Stegostoma tigrinum: one gene and its partner. The protein of the gene in region 2 purifies or fractionates together with the protein of the main gene of each other region. This does not show direct contact. Links are inferred from orthologs where the notes say so. Each region holds a gene or a part of one and is shown on either strand. Other genes may lie near its edges.

Evidence for each region.
Region 1: the proteins of probable cationic amino acid transporter (region 2) and golm1 purify together in Homo sapiens (co-immunoprecipitation; 3 studies listed by BioGRID and IntAct, with this or other methods). This does not show direct contact. The link is inferred for Stegostoma tigrinum from reciprocal best matches to the Homo sapiens genes SLC7A14 and GOLM1.

What each region holds. Positions count from the first base shown.
Region 1 is NC_081356.1:58,788,651-58,799,152, forward strand, and holds the start of golm1 (Golgi membrane protein 1), read left to right. Parts: upstream 1-5,574; 5' UTR 5,575-5,954; coding exon 5,955-6,284; intron 6,285-10,502.
Region 2 is NC_081367.1:56,804,763-56,815,567, reverse strand, and holds the start of probable cationic amino acid transporter, read left to right. Parts: upstream 1-5,754; 5' UTR 5,755-5,945; intron 5,946-6,380; exon of another isoform or gene 6,381-6,749; intron 6,750-10,805. UniProt on the Homo sapiens protein: Imports 4-aminobutanoate (GABA) into lysosomes. May act as a GABA sensor that regulates mTORC2-dependent INS signaling and gluconeogenesis. The transport mechanism and substrate selectivity remain to be elucidated.

The sequences.
Region 1 (10,502 bases), on a different chromosome or scaffold from region 2:
ATCACACTCCTGACTTGTGCCTTGTAGGTGGCGGACAGACTTTGGGAAGTCAAGAGGTGAGTTACTCGTTGCAGTATTCCTCGCCTCTGACCTTCTCTTGTAGCCATTGTGTTTAAGTGGTAACTCCAGCTGAATTTCTTGTCAATGGTTCCCCCCCAGGATGTTGATAATTGGAAATTCAGTGATGGTAACACTACTGAATGCCAAGGTGTGGTGGTTAGATTGTATCTTATTAGTGATGGTCATAGCCTGGCATCTGTGTGGTGTGAATGTTACTTGCTATTTGTCAGCATAAGCTGGATATTGTCCAGATCTTGTTGCATTTGAACATGAACTGCTTCAGTATCTGAAGAGTTGTAAGTTGTGCTGAACATTGTGCAATCATTGGTGAATATCCCCACTACTGACCTTATGATGGAGGGAAGATCATTGATGAAGCAGCTGGAGATTGTTGGACTGAGGACACTACCCTGTGGAACTCCTGCAGAGATGTCCTGGAGCTGAAATGATTGACCTTCAACAACCACAGCCATCTTCCTATGCGTCAGGTTGACTCTAACCACTGGAGAGTTTGCCTTGATACCCATTGATTCCAGTTTTGCTAGGGTTCCTTGATGCCATACCCAGTCAAATGCACCCTTGAAATCAAGGGCTGTCACTCTCACCTCACCTCTGGAATTTAACTCCTTTTTCCATTTTTGGACCAAAGCTATAATGTGGTCAGGATCTGAGTGGTCCTGGCAGAACCCAAACTGGGCATCACTGAGCAGGTTATTGCTGAGCAGGTTCTGCTTGATAGCACTGTTGATATCATCATCCATCACTTTAGTGATGATTGAGAGTAGACCAATAACATAGTTAATACAGTGGCTACAAGAACAGGTCGTACACAGTGAGCAACTCACCTATTAACTCCTCAAACCATATACAAGGTTTAAGACAGGAGTGTGAAGGAATACTCCCCACTTGCCTGGATGAGTGCAGCTTGAATACTCAAAAAGCATCCAGGACAAAGCAGCCAGTTGACTGGCAACACATCTATAAGTACCCACTTCCCCATCAACAATGCTCAGTATTAGCAGTGTGCGCCATTGAAAAAATGCACTGCAGAAATTCACCAAAGATATTTAGACAGCACTTTCTAAAACCACAACCACTGCCATCTAGAAGGACAGGGACAGCAGACACATAGGAACATCACCACCTGAAACTTCTGCTCTGAGCCACTCACCATCCTCTCTTGGAAATATATTGCTGTTCTTCTGCTGTTGCTGGGTCAAAATCCTGGAAGTGCCTCTCTAATGGCATTGTAGTTGTACCTATATCTGACGGACTTCTCAAGGGCAACTCGTAAGAGGCAGCAAATGCTAACCCAGCCAGTGATGCCCATGTTACACCAGTGAATAAAAAGAAATGAATATGTTCGAATGTCTGCTCTATAGGCTCATAGACTACTATGGCACCAAAATAGGCCATCTGACCACCCCACCACAAAGATCTGACATTAAATTATTTTCCAACTTTTGACCAATAGTCCTGGAGGCTACGGCAACATGAGTGAATATGTAAATATTGCTTAAATGTTACAGCTTTTAACTCAACCACATTTTCTGGCTATGAGTTCCAGACTTACACTACCCTATGAGTGAAAAAAATTCTCAACTCTCTTCTTAGCCTTCTGTCTTAGCCAAAATCCATGCCATCCTCCCCACCATTCCCCCATTATTGATCCCTCTACTAACAGAAAGAATGCCTTCCTATCAATGCCCCTCACAACCTTAACCATCTCTCAGGGGCCTATTCAACCTTTGTTGTTCCAAGGCAAAATAAACAGTTTATCTGTTTTTTTTGTGTGGCTTACACGCTGTACCCCAGGCACTGTGAACCATGGTAAATCTTCTCTGCACCATCTCTGGTGTAATCGCAGTCTTTCTATGATGTGGTCACCAAAACTTACTCTAATTGTTGTTTAACCAATATTTTATTCAGCATGACCTTCCTACTTTTGAATTCAGTGCCTTGGTCAATAAAGGCACATATCCCAAATGCCTTCTCAATTACCTTATCTACCTGCCTCATTGCCTTCATGGATCTGTGGATATGCTCATCAAGGTCCCTCTGATGTTCAGTACTTTCTAGATACCTATTATTCATTGTGTAATCCTTTGTCTTGTGAGATCTCCCCAAGTGCATTACCTCACTTCTTTTAAAGATAATTCCATTTGTTATAGCCCCATCCAGTTGACCAGTTGTTGAGATTTCCAGTGGTTTAAGGCAAACCTTCTCACTGTTGATTTACCCCCTACAATTAAGTTCAAATCTTTAATGTCCTCAACAAACAGTAACAGCCCCAGCATGGAGCACTATAGCATATCACTCATCGCAGAAACATCCCTCTACCATCACCTTGGTTTCTGCCTCATCCAATTTTTGGACTCCATGTGTAACTTTGCCTTGGATTCCATGGGCTCTGACTTTCCTTGACTAGTCTGCCATGAAGAACTTTATCAAAAGCCTTATTAAAGTCTTGTAGACCGTATCATCTGCATTACACTCATCATAGAGTTATACAGCATTGAAACAGACCCTTTGGTACAACTTGTTAATGCTGACCAATATCCTCAACTGATCTAGTCCCATTTGCCAGCATTTGGCCCATATTCACCTAAACTGTTCCCATTCATGTATCTTTTCAGATGGTAACCAAGCTGAGGAGAGGGTTTAACCAATACTGACCTTGGTGAAAGGCATTTGGAGCTGGCTACGGCAGAGTTCACATGAATGTGAGCGTTGAAAATGAGTTGACTTTCAGCGCCCTCAGTTCATCTATTTTTTCTTCAGACTCCTTACCTTAAAATATATCGAACTTATGTATCCTATATTTCATCCGCCTTCCAGTTTCACATGATTTAACTTAAACTTCTATCTTAGCTTTCTCCCCTCCATCCTACTTGTCACCTGTCAAGCTAGTTTAAATCCAATGCAACAGAATTAGGGTGGTTAGCACTGCTGCCTCACAGCGCCAGGGACCCGAGTTCAATTTTGGACGACTGTCTGTGTGGAGTTTGCACATTCTCCCCACGTCTGTGTGGGTTTCCTCCGGGTACTCTTGTTTCCTCCCGCAGTCCAAAGATGTGCAGGTTAGGTGGATTGGCTAAGCTAAATTGCCTGTAGTGTTCAAGAGTCTGTAGATTAGGTGGGTTATAGGGGGATAGGTCTGGGTGGGATGCTCCAAGGGTCGGTGTCGACTTGTAAGGCTGAAGGCCCTGTTTCTACACTGTAGGGGTTTTATGATTCTCCCCACTTGGATGGACCTATTCCAATTCAGATTTAACTTTGCCAACTTGTACTGTTCCCATCTCCACCAGAAACAGGTCCCAATGCTTCAGGTCATGGACATTTTCCCTTCTCACTATCCCTTAAGACCCATATTCATCTGCTCTACTCTTCTATACACATACTCACGCTTGGGTAATGCCAAGAGTAATCTGAAAATTATTTCCTTTGAAGTTCTGCTTTCCCAATGTCCATGTGTAAGACCTAATTTCTTTTTCTTCCTATGTCACTGGTCCCAACATGGACAATGAATTCTGACTGTTCATGCTGTCCCTTCAAAACGCCCATGACATCTTTGAACATGGCACCCATGAGGTAACATACTATCCTGGAGTAATGTCTACAGCTGCAAAAGTGCTTGTCCACTGCCCTCACTAAGGAATTGCCCTTGATATTTATTGTTCTTAGGTCCAGCAGCATTACCATTTTCTCTGACCATTTTCAAGGGCAAAAAACAGTTTGCAAATGATAAGCATGTGAGGACTTCTCTCAATACAGTCTTGGTTCCCTTTTTTTGCTTGGTGGTTACTGATTCATTCTCGACCTGAACTTTCTTAAGCTATGGGATGACCACATTGTGAAATGTATTATCCTTGATCCACAGTTTCGTGAATGCGCCCTGGTGCTCCCAGCTGCTCTGAATTTCCAGAACGCAATGTTTGTATATTTCAGCCAGAGGCACTCCTGCACACCATTTCACACACACTCATGGTAGACAAATTTACAGTTCATTCATGGGGTTGCCATCATTAATAATGACTTAACCTTACATGGGGATGATCATAAGCCAGGTGAAAAATTAAGGCGAAATTTTAAATTTTCAATGTGTTTGTTTTATGTTCTATTTGATGCAAATACAGGTGAAAAACTTTGCAAGGATTTATTGCTCACCAGAGTAGTGGCAGATTTATCAGTAAGTCGACCTGCAGCAAATTCGTGAGAAAACCAGTGTGTGATTGGAGGAGTAGCGAGCAGCCCCATGCTGAGGGCCAGAACGCTGAGTCTGCAGGCTGGGTAAGGGACTAGGAAACTTTCAGGGAGACTCCAGCCTGGGAGGGAGATGAGAATCGCACCACACGGAAAAGGCAATGAGACAGTCGGATGGCAGAGGGGTAACTATGCCACCGGAGTTGGGCAGTGATTGCCTTTTACCAAACTGCATTTATATCTCTTCAAGGAGATACAAACTGTCACTTCCAATTCAATGCACAAAGTTTGCTGGTGGTGTAATAGTACTGGTGATCATTTTTGAAGCTCAAAGCCCCATGGATTATTTTCCTGTAGTTAAAGGAGGCAGAGTCAGTCAGACAGTAAGAAGAAAAACCCCAGGCTGTAAGTCAACTCATTTCTGACCCTCACTTTCATGCGAATTCTGCCGTAGCCAGCTCCAAATGCCTTTCACCAAGGTCAGTATTAATTAAACCATTTCCTTAGCTCGGTCCCTGTTATCATCCCTTCTCTAGTGATCATGAATTGGGGTTGGTTCTTTCTATTTCTCCTATGTCACTGGTCCCAACATGGACAATGAATTCTGACTGTTCATGCTGTCCCTTCAAAATGCCCATGACATCTTTGAACATGGCACCCATGAGGTTCTTAATTGAAAAGGCCTTGTGATTAAGCTTTGTTGTTTGTCCCATTTTAATTGTTAATTTCTATTAATTATTAATTTACAAGATTAATTTATTCCTTTTGAATTCAATTTTTGACAAAATCTATGTTTCCAGTTGTGGCAACCATTATCTCTATAAAATTTGCTGACTAGACCCTGAGAAAGAGATACGTTGAAATATTAGATAACAAGTGTGGAACTGGATGAACACAGCAGGCCAAGCAGCATCTTAGGAGCTCAAAGGCTGATGTTTCGGGCCTAGACCCTTCATCAGAAAAGGTTTTTCAAATGAAGGGTCTCGGCCTGTAACGTCAGCTTTTGTGCTCCTAAGATGCTGCTTGGCCTGTGTTCATCCAGCTCCACACGTTATTATCTCAGACTCTCCAGCATCTGCAGTCCCTATTATTACTGTTACGTTGAAATGTTTCCCATACCTTCCCTCCGAATCCCCATTCCCACGCAAAATGATTAGCCAACCTTCCTGCAAACGGCCTGGGTATTTTGAAACCAACAGTTTCCTACCATGGCACAGAGTTAATAATGAGGGAGGGATGATTTGGTGGATTTGATGTGGAGATGTTGGAGGCAAAAGAGCATTAGAAGGCATTCCGTCGTTGGTTTTGTAATGTTTTGTGGTGATGTTGTAACTTTCCATTAGCGGATAGATTAGCCGTCGCTGGGAGCCGCCTTTCGGAGGTCGGCAGTCACCATCCTGAACGGGGTGTCGGGGAGATGACGGCAGTGAGGGTGGAGCCATGAGGTGGCAGGTGCCTGGCTTCAGCTCCGATTTCACAATCGGCGTCCTGCTCGGTTTCCGAACTTTTATGCGTTTTCCGGCCTGAACAGGCCCTCGCCGCTTTTCTGTGACGAACGACAGAGCTCGTTGACGGTTCGCTCCGTCGGGCAGTACTTTTTTTTCGAAAGACTACATTGACCGAAGAGCGTCCCAATAGCGTGGTTTGAACCGTCTCCCTTCTCCCGGTGCATTCCGCCACCGGCTGTTATCATGATGCTGGGCCTCGGGAGCGGGCGGCGCGGCGCGCGCTCCCCGCCGTTGTTCTTCCTGCTGTTGGCGCTGGGCGCGTGCCTGGCCTTCCTCGCGCTCAGCTACTGGGTGTCGAGCTCGCGCAGCGCCGAGCTGCAGGCGCGGGTGGCCGCGCTCGACGCCAAGGTCCGGCGCGCGGCTGTCGACCTCAGCACCGCGGAGCTGCAGAAGCACCAACTCCAGCTGCAACTGCAGAGCCAGTTAGAGGGCCACAAGGATGAAGTGGGTCAGCTCGGACTTCTGCACCGCCAACAGGTCCAAGCAGAAACCAGGATCTGCAACGAGGAAAAGGTAAAGTAACGCTACTGTGGGTGGGAGGACATGTTGGGGACAACGGAGGTACAAGACAGTTAGTTTTAAAAGTTAATGGGCAGTTCAAAAAAAAAGTTGTGTGGAACGAAGGCGTTGTCTTGGACCACAACGTGAGAATGCTGTGGTTCAGTTGTGCATAACTTTGAGGCCACTGTCTCGAATTCGTAGTCTCTACAGCGCATATAAAGGCCTTTCGGCCCATCTAGTCTTCGCCCACCCTCTCGCAGAACGTCCCACGCATTTCCAGTTTATTACCGTAACCGCGCCGTGGCTGATCTTTCCTTCTGCATTACCTTGGACGTTCCGAGGCAACTTTAGTATTATCAGTCCACCTAACCTGCACATCTTTGGAGTTCTGAATTTAGGGCTGAGCCTGAAAAGTGACCAGGAACGTTTGTGCCACATGCGACAGTCATTGTCCATTTTCAAAAAGAGCGAATCCAATAATTTTTCCTCGAAATTCCGTGGCGTCGCCATCGCAGAATATCCCAATATCAACATCCTTGGGGTTGCCATTGTCTAGAAACGGAACTAAACCAGTGATTATAAATACCATGGCTAAAAGTGCTGGTCAGAGGCTGGGAATTCTGTAGAAAGTTATCACTCCCACCCTCCTGTAAGGCACAAGTCACGAATGTAACTCAGTTGTTTGGATGATTGCAGTTCCAGTGACACTCAGGAAGTTTGACACCATCCGGGAAAGAAATAGCCTACTTGATTGGAAGATTAGATTAGATTAGATTCCCTGCCTGTGGAAACAGGCCCTTCGGCCCAACAAGCCCACACCGACCCTTGAAGCATCCCACACACCCCTGAAGACTATGGGCAATTTAGCGTGGCCTATCCACCTAGCCTGCACATCTTTGGACCGTGGGAGGAAACTGGAGCACCCGGAGGAAACCCACGCAGACATGGGGAGAATGTGCAAACTCCACACAGACAGTCATCCAAAATTGAACCCGGGTCCCTGGCACTGTGAGACCAGTGCTCACCACTGAGCCACCGTGCCGCCCCTAAATCTAATATCGTCACCATTCTCTTTCTACTTCATTGATAAATTGGCAAGTTTGTTTGGAAAATTTCCAAATTGGCAAATATATGTACCAGCTACAAGATGCATTGCAACAACTCACCAAGGCTTCTTCGACAATGGCGTGCAAGCCTGTAACCTTATTATGATGATGACTAACCAAAGTACTCATTGACTGTAAAGTGTTTAGGACATATGGTGGTCATGCATTAAGTACAAAATGTTTTATAAAACTGGAACACTGGTCTATGTAATGCTGTATTATGATTGGAGGAAGAAATCATCTTAATTGTTTTGCACGTTAAAACAATCTTAGAATGGATGTCAGTGTAATTTTTTGCACTCAGGATTATTTACCAAACTTTATTCAGTCACGGTCATCTGTTGGCCAAAGTGTTTTCAGTTTTGTAAGCAGAGGCTAGTTGGACACATCTGGCATCCTGCTTGGTGTGGACAGCCAAAGGGATATGTAATTCTGAAGAAGAGTCATTCCCTGTTTCTCCGGGTTGGATCCCAACGTCCACAAACAAAGCTGCATTAGGACACTATTTAAAAAGGCCAAGACACACTGCAACACTCCAGAGCAACTCAGGAAAGAGGAAGAACACCTGCACAAGATCCTCGCTTTAAACGAATATACCCACAACTTCATCCACAGATTCCTACAAAACAGACAACAGGAGGACACAGTATGACCTAACACATTTATCACACTTACCTACATCAGGAACATATCAGAACTGATAACAAGACTCCTAAGACCACTATGAATCACGGTGACTCACAAGCCCACAGCCACTCAACGACAAACACTTAACAAGGATTAAAGATCCCATTTCCACAATGTGCAGAATAAATGTGGTTTACAAAATACCATGCGATGACCATCACAAACATTACATCGGACAGGCAGGAAGGAAACTAGCCATCAGAATACATGAATGTCTGCCAGCAGCACAACAAACTCTCCTTAATATAGGTACATTCAGACAATGAATGCCATCAATTTAACTGGGACAAAGTAACCATAGTAGCCCAAGCCAAACACAGACACGCATGCAATTTCCTCGAGGCATGGTTCTCCAGCCACACTTCAATCATCAAACATATAGAATTGGACCCCATATAAAAACCCATACAGATCGAAACTGGAAATGACACTACTCACCATTACAGACCGTACAGTATAAATTCCAAGTGGAGTAAATTAACATTGCTTCATCGGAGGCACCACTGATGATGTCACCTAGTACGGTGATGAAACATTTGAACAACAATAAGCCAGCTCAGCGAGCAAGTCAACAACCTCAACCTGAGCTACAGATCTTTGCCAAAACTTAACACCTTTGCTATTCACCTTGTCTATGCCTCATTTTATAAGACATTATAAGGTCACCCGTCAGCATCCAGGGGAAAAAAGTCCCAGACCATCCAGCCTCTCTTGACAACCCAAGTCTTCCGGTCTCCTTTTTCTGCAAATTTACACAAATCTAACCATTTAATACTGTTTGCTAACTGAAACATTTTACACTAACCGAAGATTGTTTGTTCTATTTTGGTATCACCTGGGCACTAGTATTTTTAAATCTTGGTTTCTAAAATAACTTTTAAAGGGCATTTTTAACTTAATGTAGTCTGTAAATGAGGGAATTGGTTTAGGCACCATCTACAATTGTTGATCCATCCCTAGGAATTTTCATTTAATTTAGAATAGCTTTCATTGTCACATGTACTCGTGTGTGTAAAAAGTTTGCAATGTCGCCTCTCGGCAGCATCTTAGGTACAAGTTACCTAGGTACAGATACTTTTGAGTTCTTATAGAATTGAAGTAGTAGAAAAAATAGGCTAACGTGTGAATACAGAGTTTAAAATGTCCAGGAACAAGAACAAACTTGATGGAAAAGTTCAGCAGGTCTGGCAGCATCTGTGAAGGAAAAAACTTAACGTTTTGGGTCTGATGATCCTTCCTCAGAACCTTAAAAAGTCCAGAATGATGATGATAAGTATCTGTAAAGTACACATTATAGTCCTTTTCCACTGAGTCTGTGTCTGCTGGGCTTCTTAACTCGAGGCCTCGTTGTCTCCACGCACTGGCCTCTGCCCAGGACTGTGCTCCAGGATTCGTTCCTTGGCTGGCCTGAGCTTGCCCTCTGGACTCCGGCTGACGACTGCTGTGCTCCTGCTCTGTCCAGGACTCGGCCTGCATGCTCTCTCCCTCTGCTCCGGGCTCTGGCTGCAATTCACTCCCTGTTCTGTACTCCCCCCCCCCCCCCCCCTCCAGGTAGGGTAGTTTAGAAGGTTAAAAGTTGGTGGAGGGGAAGAGAAACTGCAGCAAAGAGAGAAAGAAAGGTGAGCAGAGGAGCCACGGATGGGATATCTTACTCTGCTGCCATCTTGTGGAGAATTTCCAAAGTGTAGTGGCGAAGCTTCCAAAGGAAAGCTTTATTTCTATTGCTGTATATTAATTAAAATGTACTAGTCACTCATTGATTTTGAGGTTAATTGATGCTGCGCCCTTTAAAGCTGGGTTCAAGTGTTTGCCAAGCTAAGTAAAAACCGAAAGAATGGCAGATGCTGTAAATCAGGAGCAAAACCAAAGTTGCTAGAAAAGCTCAGCAGGTTTGGCATCATCTGTGAAGGAAAAAGACTAGAACTAAGGAAAGGCACCAGATCCATAACATTAACTGATTATTTTTCCTTCATGGGTTCTGTCAGATCTGCTGAGCTTTTCCAGCAACTTTGTTTTTGTTTGCTACGCTATGCATGTGCTCATTTTGCATCTGAAGTATGTGATGAATAGCATTATGCAAGGCTCCTGTATTGTATGCACCTGAAACTGACACGCAGCCCCCTTTCATAAGTAAATAAGGTGCCTAATGTGCATCTATGTGTGATCTTGCTTGATATTTGACCTCTGTTCGATGGCTTGTGGCCTCAAAATGGCCATGTTTACATGAGGCCTAATCATGGTCCTTCTTTACGCATGTTAAAAAAGCTTTTTTAACATAGTTCTGAGGATCATTACTGACTGGATCCATCCTGAGCCCATAATGACCACTCCCATCCCCATGGATCCACCTGAGTTGTTACCAAGAAAGCAGCCAACTACAGCCCGAAAGTACTGAGTAAGGGGTAGTAGGAACTGCAGATGCTGGAGAATCTGAGAT
Region 2 (10,805 bases):
GGCTTGTTCATTGATAACATGCTGCTTGAAACAGTTGACAGCCCTGGTTCAATGGCTAGCATGCTTCCTGGTGATTTGGAAAGCTGTGGGGTCAAGACGTGCTCTAAAGATTTAAGCATTCAGCCTAGGCTGGGGGTAGGTTGTCATGGAGTGTAGTTTTAATGTTCCACCCTCTTGATCAGAACGTCTGTTTAAATCTCACTTGTCATGGAGATGTTTCATAAAAGTAATTAAATTCAAGACTTACTCACCTAATACTGTGCTGTGGTCAGTAATGTAAAAAGCATGGGTTCAGTTCCTGGACCAGCTGAGGTTAAGGGACTCTCTTTTACAGCCTCTCACCTTGACTCCAGGCTAAATCATTCCCAGTTGTCTCTTGAATGAGAGAGCAGCTGTTTGGTCTGGTAGGACTATTAGTGACTTTATTGCTTTTAAGATGATGGTGTATCAAGGTCCCATCTGACAATAAAGGTCCCACAGTGTTATGTGGAACATAGTGGTGTTTGTGCTAAACTACAGATTTACAAATAACGTGCGTATAAATCTCTGAAAGCATTTTTTTTTGCTGCCTAATTGAACATCAGGAACGATCTCCTTGCTATCCTGAAAAATACTTCAATCCTCAATTAAAAAGTAAAACAAATAATTCAGTCCATCTCACTTTGCTGTTAATGGGATATTTTAGTGTGCAAATTGTTTGCATTACAGTAGCAAAAATTGTTAAGAGCTGATCTGATGTTAAAGAAAGGTAGCAATTTACTGCAAGGGGAATTAAGTACCGCAATTTTTTGAAGTGTCATCATTGTTCCATGGTTCTAGCTGATGGTAATACTGGATAAGTCAGGCTCCAGTGTGAAACTTTGTCACTGGGAATGGTGGGGCTTGAGAGTTGGAACACTTTCCCAAATGGGGTTATAACAGTTTTCAGAAATGGCTTCTTCTCCACGGGATAGTTTGCCCTTGTCTTTCTATTTGGTAGAGTTTGTGTTGTTGGTAGATGGTCTTAAAAGAGACTTAGTAAGTTGCTGCAGTGCACCTTGGAGATGGCACGTACAATTCCCATTGTGTGCAAGCTGTGGAGGAAATGGACGCTTAAGGAAATGATCAGATTCCAGTCAAAAGAGGTGCTTTGTCCTGGATGTCTTTGAAAGTCTTGAATGTTTTTGGATCTGCATTCAACCAGGCAAATGCTAAGAATTCCATCACAATCTACATTGAGCCTCATAGATGGCTTTGGAGTGAGAAAAAGTGAGTTATTTGCTGTAGAATTTCCAACCTCTAAACTACATTTGCAAAGAAAGTATTTATGCAACTTGTCCAATGAAGTTTCTGCTCCCAGGGTGTTGATGATGGAGTACCTAACAAAGGAAGTGCTGCTCATTGTCAAAGGAAGATGTACGGTATGACTCTGTACAGTTACCCCCTCTGTAAGTGATTTGTATTGACTTCAATATGTGAAAATTTCTATCCCAAATGGTGCATTACTGAGTGTGTGCCACATTAGGGAGAGCTCATGCTCCCTTTAGAGGAATTTTACAGGGAAGGGGTGAATCCAGGTTTAGTCGTCAATGTTAGAACAAACAATATAAATAGAAATAGGGAGCAGGCACCACTTAATGACTATCAGGAGTTAAGTTCTAAATTAAAAAGCAGGGCCTTAAAGGTTATAAGCTCTCAGTATTTCCCAAGCTATGTGCAAATTGGCATGGGACTTAGCAGTTCAGGAGAATTGACACATGGCTAAAGAGCAAGTTCACTGCCATGAGACATTTGTACTACTCTGGGACAGGAAGTGTATGCATCAATAGAATGGGAAGCAGCTGCAAAAAGAGTAAATAAGGAGTAACAAGGCCTTTAAGCTCATAAAATGGGAGGACCAACATACAAGAAAGATAAGCAGCCTATATCTATTCAGAACAGGGCAAATGGATGTAGGAGAGACAAACGTAAGACAGGACATTAATGCCAAGGGGATAAATAATTATAGAATAGGAGTCTATAGGTTGGTGAAACATCAGGTGAGAGAAAACGCTAGTAAAAATGAGTTAAAATGCCAATGCAGAAATACAGAGCATTCATAACAAAATAAAAGCTAGAAGCAATGATGCTTAGGTGGGGGGTGGGATTGTTGGAGGTGGGAGGTGGGATTCAACACAGTTAGAAATATTGAGACACAACTATGGAAAGTTCTGGGCCAGGAATTGAACATTATAGGTTGTTACAAAGCTGGAAATAATGAGGAAACATATGGATGGGGTATCTGTACTTTGTTGAGGTAATTTCATGGCAATATAAAGAAATGTTACAGTTATCAACAGGACAAAAGTAGAATCAGAAGGGAAATGTTGAATGTTTTTATTAAAGATGTTATAGAAAGGCACTTAGAAAATTCAAAGTTATCTGTCAGGGTCAACATGCATTTTGTGAAAGGGAGATCACGTTTAATGTTATTGATGTTCTTTGAAGAACTGACACGCGCTTGGAATAAAGGAAAATATGTGTAGATAATGAACTTTAATTTTGTGAGAAAGAAGGATTCTAGAAAGCAATAAAGCAACCATGGTTAACCAGAGGAGTTAGGATAGCATTAAATTGATAGCAAAAAAAACTCCTACAATTTGGCAAAGATTAGTGCTAAACCTGAGATTTTGGGAAAGATTTAAAAACAAATAAAAGACGGCCAAAAAGAAAATGGATAAGATAAACTTTGAGGGTAAACTTGCAAAAAAATGTCAATTTAAACAGTAAGTGCTTCTTTAAATGTATAAGTAGGAATTGAGAATTCAAAATGAATATAGGCCCCTTACAGACAAGGTCAGGGAAATAATAATCAAGGAGGAGTGTGACAAAAGTTGAATAAATATTTTGCAGTCTTCATGGTACAAGACACAAATGACATTACAAAATTATGAAATAGCTAATGGACAAAAAGTGAAGAGAAAATAAATAACAGTTGGTTCTTCATCGTAAATTGGTTTTAACACAATTGAACAATTATAGAATGCTATTTATAAAATGTGAATTTTCCCTACCTGTATTGGCTATAATGTGATTCCATACCCATCACTTTAAATGTCATGGTTATTGCATGATTTTCTTATAACACGAGATCTCATGAGAATGGAACTATCGCATTATATCAGAACCAACCGTAATAACTATTGCAAAAGAAAAATGCTTGGGAAACGCATGGACTAAAGACTGATTAACCCCCCTAATGGTATATGTTAAGGATATTAAAGGGCGTAGCTATAGAGATAATGGATGCACTGGTGGCAACAGACTCCTTAGATATTGGTAGTCACAGAGAATTGGAAAATTGCCAACGTAACACCTTTATTTGAAAAGGGAAGGAAACAAAAAGGTGCCAATAGGCCACTCAGATAACATCTGTTACTCGGATAATATTAGAGTCTATTATAAAGATGTAACAGCAGAGCATTTATAAATACACAATATGGTATATGATCAAACAAAGTCAGCTTGGCTTCATGATGGGGGAACCATACCTGACAAATTTATTAGAGTCATTTGAGAAGGTAATAAGCAAGATAGATAAAGGGATGTGGCGTATGTAAAAAAATTGGATTTTCAGAACGCAGTTGACAAGGTACTACACATGAGGCTGCTAAATAAGAACCATGGTATTGACTGTAGTATACGAGCATGTGTAGTGGATTGGCTAATGAATAGAATTTGTAATAACAGGGCAATTTCAGGATGGAAATCTGTAGCATGTAGGGTTTTACAGGCATCAATGCAAGGACTATAATTATTTACAACATATATTACTGATTTGGATGAGGAAAGTGAATGTACCAAAGACAAATTTATACATGACAGAATATAGGTGGGAAAGCAAGTGGTGAGGTTATGGGAGAAAGACAGGAAAGTGAATTTTAGGATTATTAGAGCAACCATGATCTCATTGAATGGTAGAGCAGTCTCAATGTTCTAAATGGCCTACTTCTGCGCCCATGTCTTAGTCCATAAGACTGTAAGAAATGGTAACAAGTGTAGGCCATTCTGCCCCTCAAGCCTGCTTTGGCATTCAATAGAATCATGGCTGATTTGGCAGGTCACACTCCCACTTCCCTGACCTTTTCCCATAACTCTTGGTGCTCTTACTGATTAAGAATCTATCTCAACCTGAAATGTACACAAGGACTCTGCCTTCACAGTTCTCTATGGTAACGGGTTCCAAAGACTCATAACCCTTTGAGAGAAGAAATTCCTCCACATCTCAGTCTTAAATTGGCACTCCTTTATTCTGAGATTTTGCTTTCTCATCCTGGATTCTCCCATGAGGGGAAACATCCTCTCAGCATTTACCCTGTCAAGCTCCTTAAGAATCCTATGTTTCGATGCGAACACCTCTCATTCTTCCAAATTCCAATCAGTAGTGTCCCAATCTGGTTAATCTTTACTCATAAGGCAATCCCTCCACTCTGGAGAGAATTCAAGTGAACATTACTTGAACAGACTCTGATGAAATAATATCTTTTCTTAAATAAGGGGATCAAAACAGGTGGCATGGTGGCTCAGTATTTAGCACTGTTGCCCCACAGGAGCAGGGACCCAGGTTTGATTCCACCCTCGAGCGACTGCGTGGAGTTTGCACATTCTCCCTATGTTTGCATGAGTTGTCTCCAGGTGCTCCAGATTCCTCCCACAGTATAAAATGAGCAGGTTAGGTGGATTGATCATGCTGGTTTGCTCATAGTGTCCTGGGATGTGCAGGCTAGGTGAATGAGCCATGGGGAATGCAGGGTATGGTGATAGGATAGAGGAGTGGGATGCTCTTCATACAGTTGGTTTGGACTCAGTGGGCTGAACGACCTGCTTCCACACAATGCTTTAGATATGGTCTCACTGATACATTTACAGCTGCAGTAAGTCTTCCCTACGTTTATACTCCAACCCCCATGAAATAAGGGCCAACATTCCATTTGGCTTCCTAATTGCCTGCCGGATCTGTGTGTTAGCTCTCTGTGTCAACTACCCTTTTAGTCTTATTGTAGACATTTAATAAGCTGTCATCTCAAAGGCAGGTAACGGAGATTTAGAAAGGGTGGTAGGAAGATCATCATGGCATGGTTCAGTTGAATGATCAGTATGAGATAGCAGAGCCGGGCCTAATGGCTGTCCAATAGTCAGTCATTTTCATTCTGGGAAGTCTCGCAGCAGTGATAGGTAAATGCAGAGAAATCGACTAGCCAGATAAATGGACTAGCTGGAGAAAGACAGCCTGGCTGGCCTCCATGTTAAGACGGGAATCAGCAGATAAAAATCCCAGATAATTAAAATAAATAGCAAGTTCTCGAATGGTAACCATTATTTGTACAAGAGCACAATAGACCCAAACTTAACAAAAAGATATATGCTCACAGGTACAAGAACACACACGCGCTAACATACAGACATAAAAAACAAATAGACGCTTTCTTCTCTCACTCCACCGGCTTAGCTCAGTATTAGGTAATATAATAGCAACTGATGTCACCAATTGTTTACTATTTGCTGTGAGTCGCCTATAAATTGAACAAAAAAAGCAGGTAAAATCCAAGGGAATGTTCGCAGTTGAATGCGCGCATTGAGCGTGCTTTAACCCCGAATTGCTGTTGTGGGGGGGAGGCGGGGGTTGGGTGAGAGCAGGGGGGGGTGAAGGTGTTGGAGTCGAGGGGGCGCTGGTCAGACAGTCTGTGTCTCCTTCCGTAACCCTAATACGTTGGGTAGTCGCTCTTTGACGCAGAGCTGCTGCTGGAGCCGGTATTTAAATAATGAATTGGCCAGGACCCACGTGATCTCTGATTCTGAATAATTCAGCGTGTTCGCCAGATCGCATCGCCCTCCTTCAATAAAACCAGCATCAAAGCGACCCTGAAGCAGTGCAAAGATGTGTGTTTTTACCTGAAACAATCCTTGACTAATCTTTTGGGGGGGTGGTGAGTGTATCTTTTTAAAATCGTTATCATTATGCTTTGTTTTTGTTCCATCCGCGGATGATGAGCCGAGCAGAGTCAATTTATTCTTTTATTAAATCTTGTTATTGTAGAGCAGAGATGTGTTATTTATTAGAAGCCGTTTATTGTTAAGGGAAACGCAGCCCCAGATGCATGTACCTGGCGCCTTGTTATTGATCACGCAGATTTTCTCTGCATGAACAGAACAGCACTGCAACAAACCCTTCAGTCATACAGTACGTCGTCATGCTTTTATCTAACCACATTGCAGTTTTCAGCAATATTTTAGCAAAACATCCTTCAAATATTAGAAAGAATTGGAATTTAATTTCTTTAGAAAAGCAGATCACAATATCTGAAGTACGTAATTCACGAGGCGGACGTGATATTGCTCAAGTTTGCAGTAACATTAGAAAAAGCAACATATCTGTCCTCTCACTCGTAAGGAAGTAGAGAAGCTGAAGTGATCCCTCCTGCACGCACTTCCATTCAGACGAAGGAGTCCCCAATCAGTCTCTCTTCAGAGGTGAGGACTTTCGGAGGTGTTTAGACTGTCCAGCAGTTTCTCTCCACCTGTTCAAGGAGCGGTGTTAGGGTGAAAAAGACTGCGAATATTCGGCACACAATTCATTGGCTGATCCCTGGTTCACCCTGAAACCGCCGAATCCGCCCACTTTCTCCCCAAGGGCCGTGCGCTGTCCCTGGTGCTGAAAGGCGAGACGAACGGGCCATCAAGACAAACAATTGTTAAAGACGGGGCCACTCCTGCCGTAGTATTCACGGATGGTGAGAAGATGTTCGATTTAGTTTGGAATCATTTAAGGGTTAATGAATGTTTTGGAGTCGGGTGTGTGTTTGGTTGGATACTGCAATGCATGCAGAGTGAATAAGATGAGTGCTGTGAGTCTCCTAAGGAGTTTAACAACCTGTCCCTATACTATTCTCAACAGTCAATGTAAATTTGACATTTTTCTCAACTGAACTGCATCTCGCCTTCCTAGGAAGAGCCTGTTTCTCCTGTTTGAAGATTGATTTTGTTTAGCTCTCCAAGGACTAAACTAGCAGCTGTTTCGCGTACTGAACTCTGCTTTGAACTAATTACACACATGAAGCCTTCAGATGTAGCTGTTGCGTATAACATCAGTATCTGTAGTATATGTGTATCTCTACATACATATCTCTCTTTATTCATTCGAGTGTTCAATTTCTTGCTCGTATAAAATATATATATACACTACTTTTACACTAAAATTTCAATGACAGATACGTATAAACCATTAGTTTGCAACTAAAGCATGAATTCTACATATAATTTGAATTATAGGTTTGGACTGGGATGATGGAAGGGCTATGCTTCTACCTTCTCTGCTCAGTTGCCTTTCCACATTGCTTCTAGTGAAGATCATATGTGGATCGTTCACATTCTGACAGTATCTTTTCTGCTCCCCCGCATTTCCCACACATCATTCATTGCCACTTTTACAGTCTTTCAAATCTGAATCACGATTCTTCCTAGTACCTTTTGTTCTTCTGTACATGTTCCATTTCAAATTATGCTCCCCAGATCCCAATAATTCCTAATAATTCCAACATACTAGATGGAATCTTATGGAGGTCTGAGTGAATGTGCTATGATGTGGTTTGTGGCAGAATCAGATGAAAAGTCCAGCATTATTGAATTCAACATCAGGAGAACTCATTCCATCTTTTTATGTTTTGCTGAGCAGCAGAGTAAGCTTCTTATTCACCAACAGGTTGCCAATTAGTTATACAGAGAAAATTGACTTGACCAATAACAATGCAGCAGGATTGTTGTTTGTTAAATGCACTGTTGATGGCCCAACTCCATATTTCACTTTGTGTCACTAAACTCACTTAAAAAGCTCAACATTGAGAAAACGTAACTTGAGAACTATAATGGATACCAGACAAATTCAGCTTGCTACTTGCTTCAAAGGACTTCAATGTTGGTTACTGGGCAACAATGTCTCAGGAAATATTCCATGGACCCTAGCACATGCATCCCAGCAGACATCTGCATGTGTTAGATTCCATTCACTAACAAGCCTCATGGCAGATCTCCAACACACTTACAGGATGTTTTTGCACTTTGGAATGCATCAGCAAAGACACTGTGCTCTAATGCTCTAATGCAACTAGTTCAGCGACTGGACCAGGCTGCATTTCAAGGTCCTTTGTTCAGTGTCATACTGAGCTGAGCTGAGTGTACAGAACATTCCTGCCTTGCATTGTCTTGCTTTGCCTCTTTGTGTTTTGCCCCTTCAATCAGAGATGTCAGGTTCATACTATCTCTATTTTGCCTTCTGTTTAGTGCAGACGTAAACGAGGAAGCTTTCATGTTGTTAACATGCTTCAGTAAAGCCAAGGGAGATAGCCTTTGCTTTTGGAGGCACCAACCCCTCCACTACACTTGGTACCTTTCCTTGCAAACATAAGAGAGTACACCTGCCCCCTCATGTCCCCTCTCACCTCCATCCAAGGACACAAACAATCCTTCCAAAGCTGGCAGCGACTCACTTGCACTTCATCTAACTCAGCCACCGTATCTGTTGCTCCTGACGTGGTCTCCTCTATATTGGGAAGACCAAATGCAGACTTGGGGATTGGTTTGTGGAGCATCTGTGCTCTGCACACACCAATCAACTGGACCTGCCAGTTGCCATCCACTTTAACTCCCCTCTCCCACTTCCCTGGTGACATGTCCATCATCCTTGGCCTCCACACTGTCAGAGTGACACCAGACATAAACTGTAGGAACAGCGCATCATATTTCACCTTGGGAGCTTACAGCCTAATGGACTGAATACTGGCTTCACCAGCTTCAAAATCTCTCTGCCTCCAACTTGTCTGTCTTCCTGCTCCTTATCCACTGACATGAAACCATTTCAAACCCTTATTGAAATGGCTTTCAATATCTCCACCCACCCCAACTCCTCAGATGACATGGCCATCCTTGGTTTCCTGCATTGCCACAATGATGCCAAAAGAAAGATGCAGGAACAGCATCTCATATTTCACTTGGGAACCCTGCAGCCCAAAGATATCAATGTGGACTTCACAGGCTTCAAAATCTCCCCTCCCCTGACTACATCCCAAAACCAGCCCAGCTAGTCTCCGGCTCACTAACCATTCCTTCCGCCTCAAGCCCCACCCCCATCTCCTACCCACTATCCTCATCCCGCCTCCTTGACCTGTCCGTCCTCCCTGGACTGACCTATTGGCTCCCTAACTCCCCACCTACATTCACCTTCATGGCTCTAACCCTGCCTCTTTGACCTGTCTGTCCCCTCTCACCCTATCTTCTCCTTTATCCATCTTCTATCCGTGTTCCTCTCTCTCCCTATTTATTTCAGAATTCCCTTCCCCTCCCCCATTTCAGAATAAGGGCCTCGACCCAAAACGTCAGTGTTCCTGCTTCTCTGAAGTTGTTGAGTCACTGATACAACAGGACATTCTTCACTAGTCGACATCAAGGGATTCTGTCTCAATATAAAATATCAAATACAAGTTTTACACTTACCTCAGCTAATGGCATACATCCATGCATTTTCTATCAGGAGTTACTGAAATTAATCTCAGGGAATGAGAAAAACATCTCCTGAGGTAATATTTCCTTACCCTTAATACACAGACAGGACAATAGCTGAACCTCAACAAAATCAGATCAATTCATTGCATACTGTGAGTTGAAATTATTTGACAGATGTCATTGGACAAGCTTTTAGAGGACCATGTTACCTCTTTTTAGATTGATAATTGCATGTGCAGAGTTTCAATCCTTTGCCCACAAAGTTACTTGAGGTACAAATTCAGAAGGACAACAGGCCATATTGAGTAATGGGAGACATGGCACTTCTATTTAGTCATAGAACAGTTACAGCACAGAATGAGGTCATTCAACATGTCTTTTTTTGCCACCTTCAAAGAGTATTACCTATTCTAATGATTTTTCCAAAGCTCTGCGTTTAATTTTTCTTCAGATAATAATTTGGTTCCCTTTTGAAAGCCTCTGTTGAACCTGCCTCCACCCACATTCTCAGACAGGACGTTCCAAACCCTAACCACTCACTTCGTTAGATGTTTTTAACCACATGTTGTCATTTGATATTGATCAATTTACTTTAAGGATTGTGAAATGTTCACTGAAAGGGAGGTAAATTAAGTTGAATTAGCGAAAAAGAGGGAAAACAAAGCTTTCATAATGAGAGAATGTTCACCTTTATTTGAATCTCTTAAAACAATTCACAATGAGATTTCATTTCTATTTTTATTCAATTTATTCAGACATATTGTTACACATTTCCAGGGCAGCTATTTCAGTCCTATATTTGTTCACTTTCTGAGCAAGAATTGGTTGGCATTTGTCACATTGTTAAATGTATTCATCTTTTCTCTGGACTTCGATTTCTAAGATTTCTTGTGGTGCAGTGGTAGTGTCTCTACTTCTAAGTCAGGAGACCAGCGTTCAAGTCTCACCAGACGTGCACAATAACGTGTCTGAAGAGTTTGAACAGAAAAAAAAACTAAGTCAAAGTTTCTGCGTGCATTCAATGTGTACTTAGTGTGCAAAAGCAGAGAATTTATCAACAAAGAGGTAGGTGTTAAGCTTAAATTTTGTTTCCATAAATTTCTTGGTAGATGAATGACAAATCATTGAACAACCAGTGGCAATTTCGAATTCATGAGAAGTTTCATCCTTGTCGTAAGCTGTAGAATGATTGACACATTAATGTTGGTGATTTTAGTTCACTCACCATCGTCATGATATACTGCTACCCACATGGGTGTTCCCCTTTGTTTGGGGTACAAGTCTACAGGCTA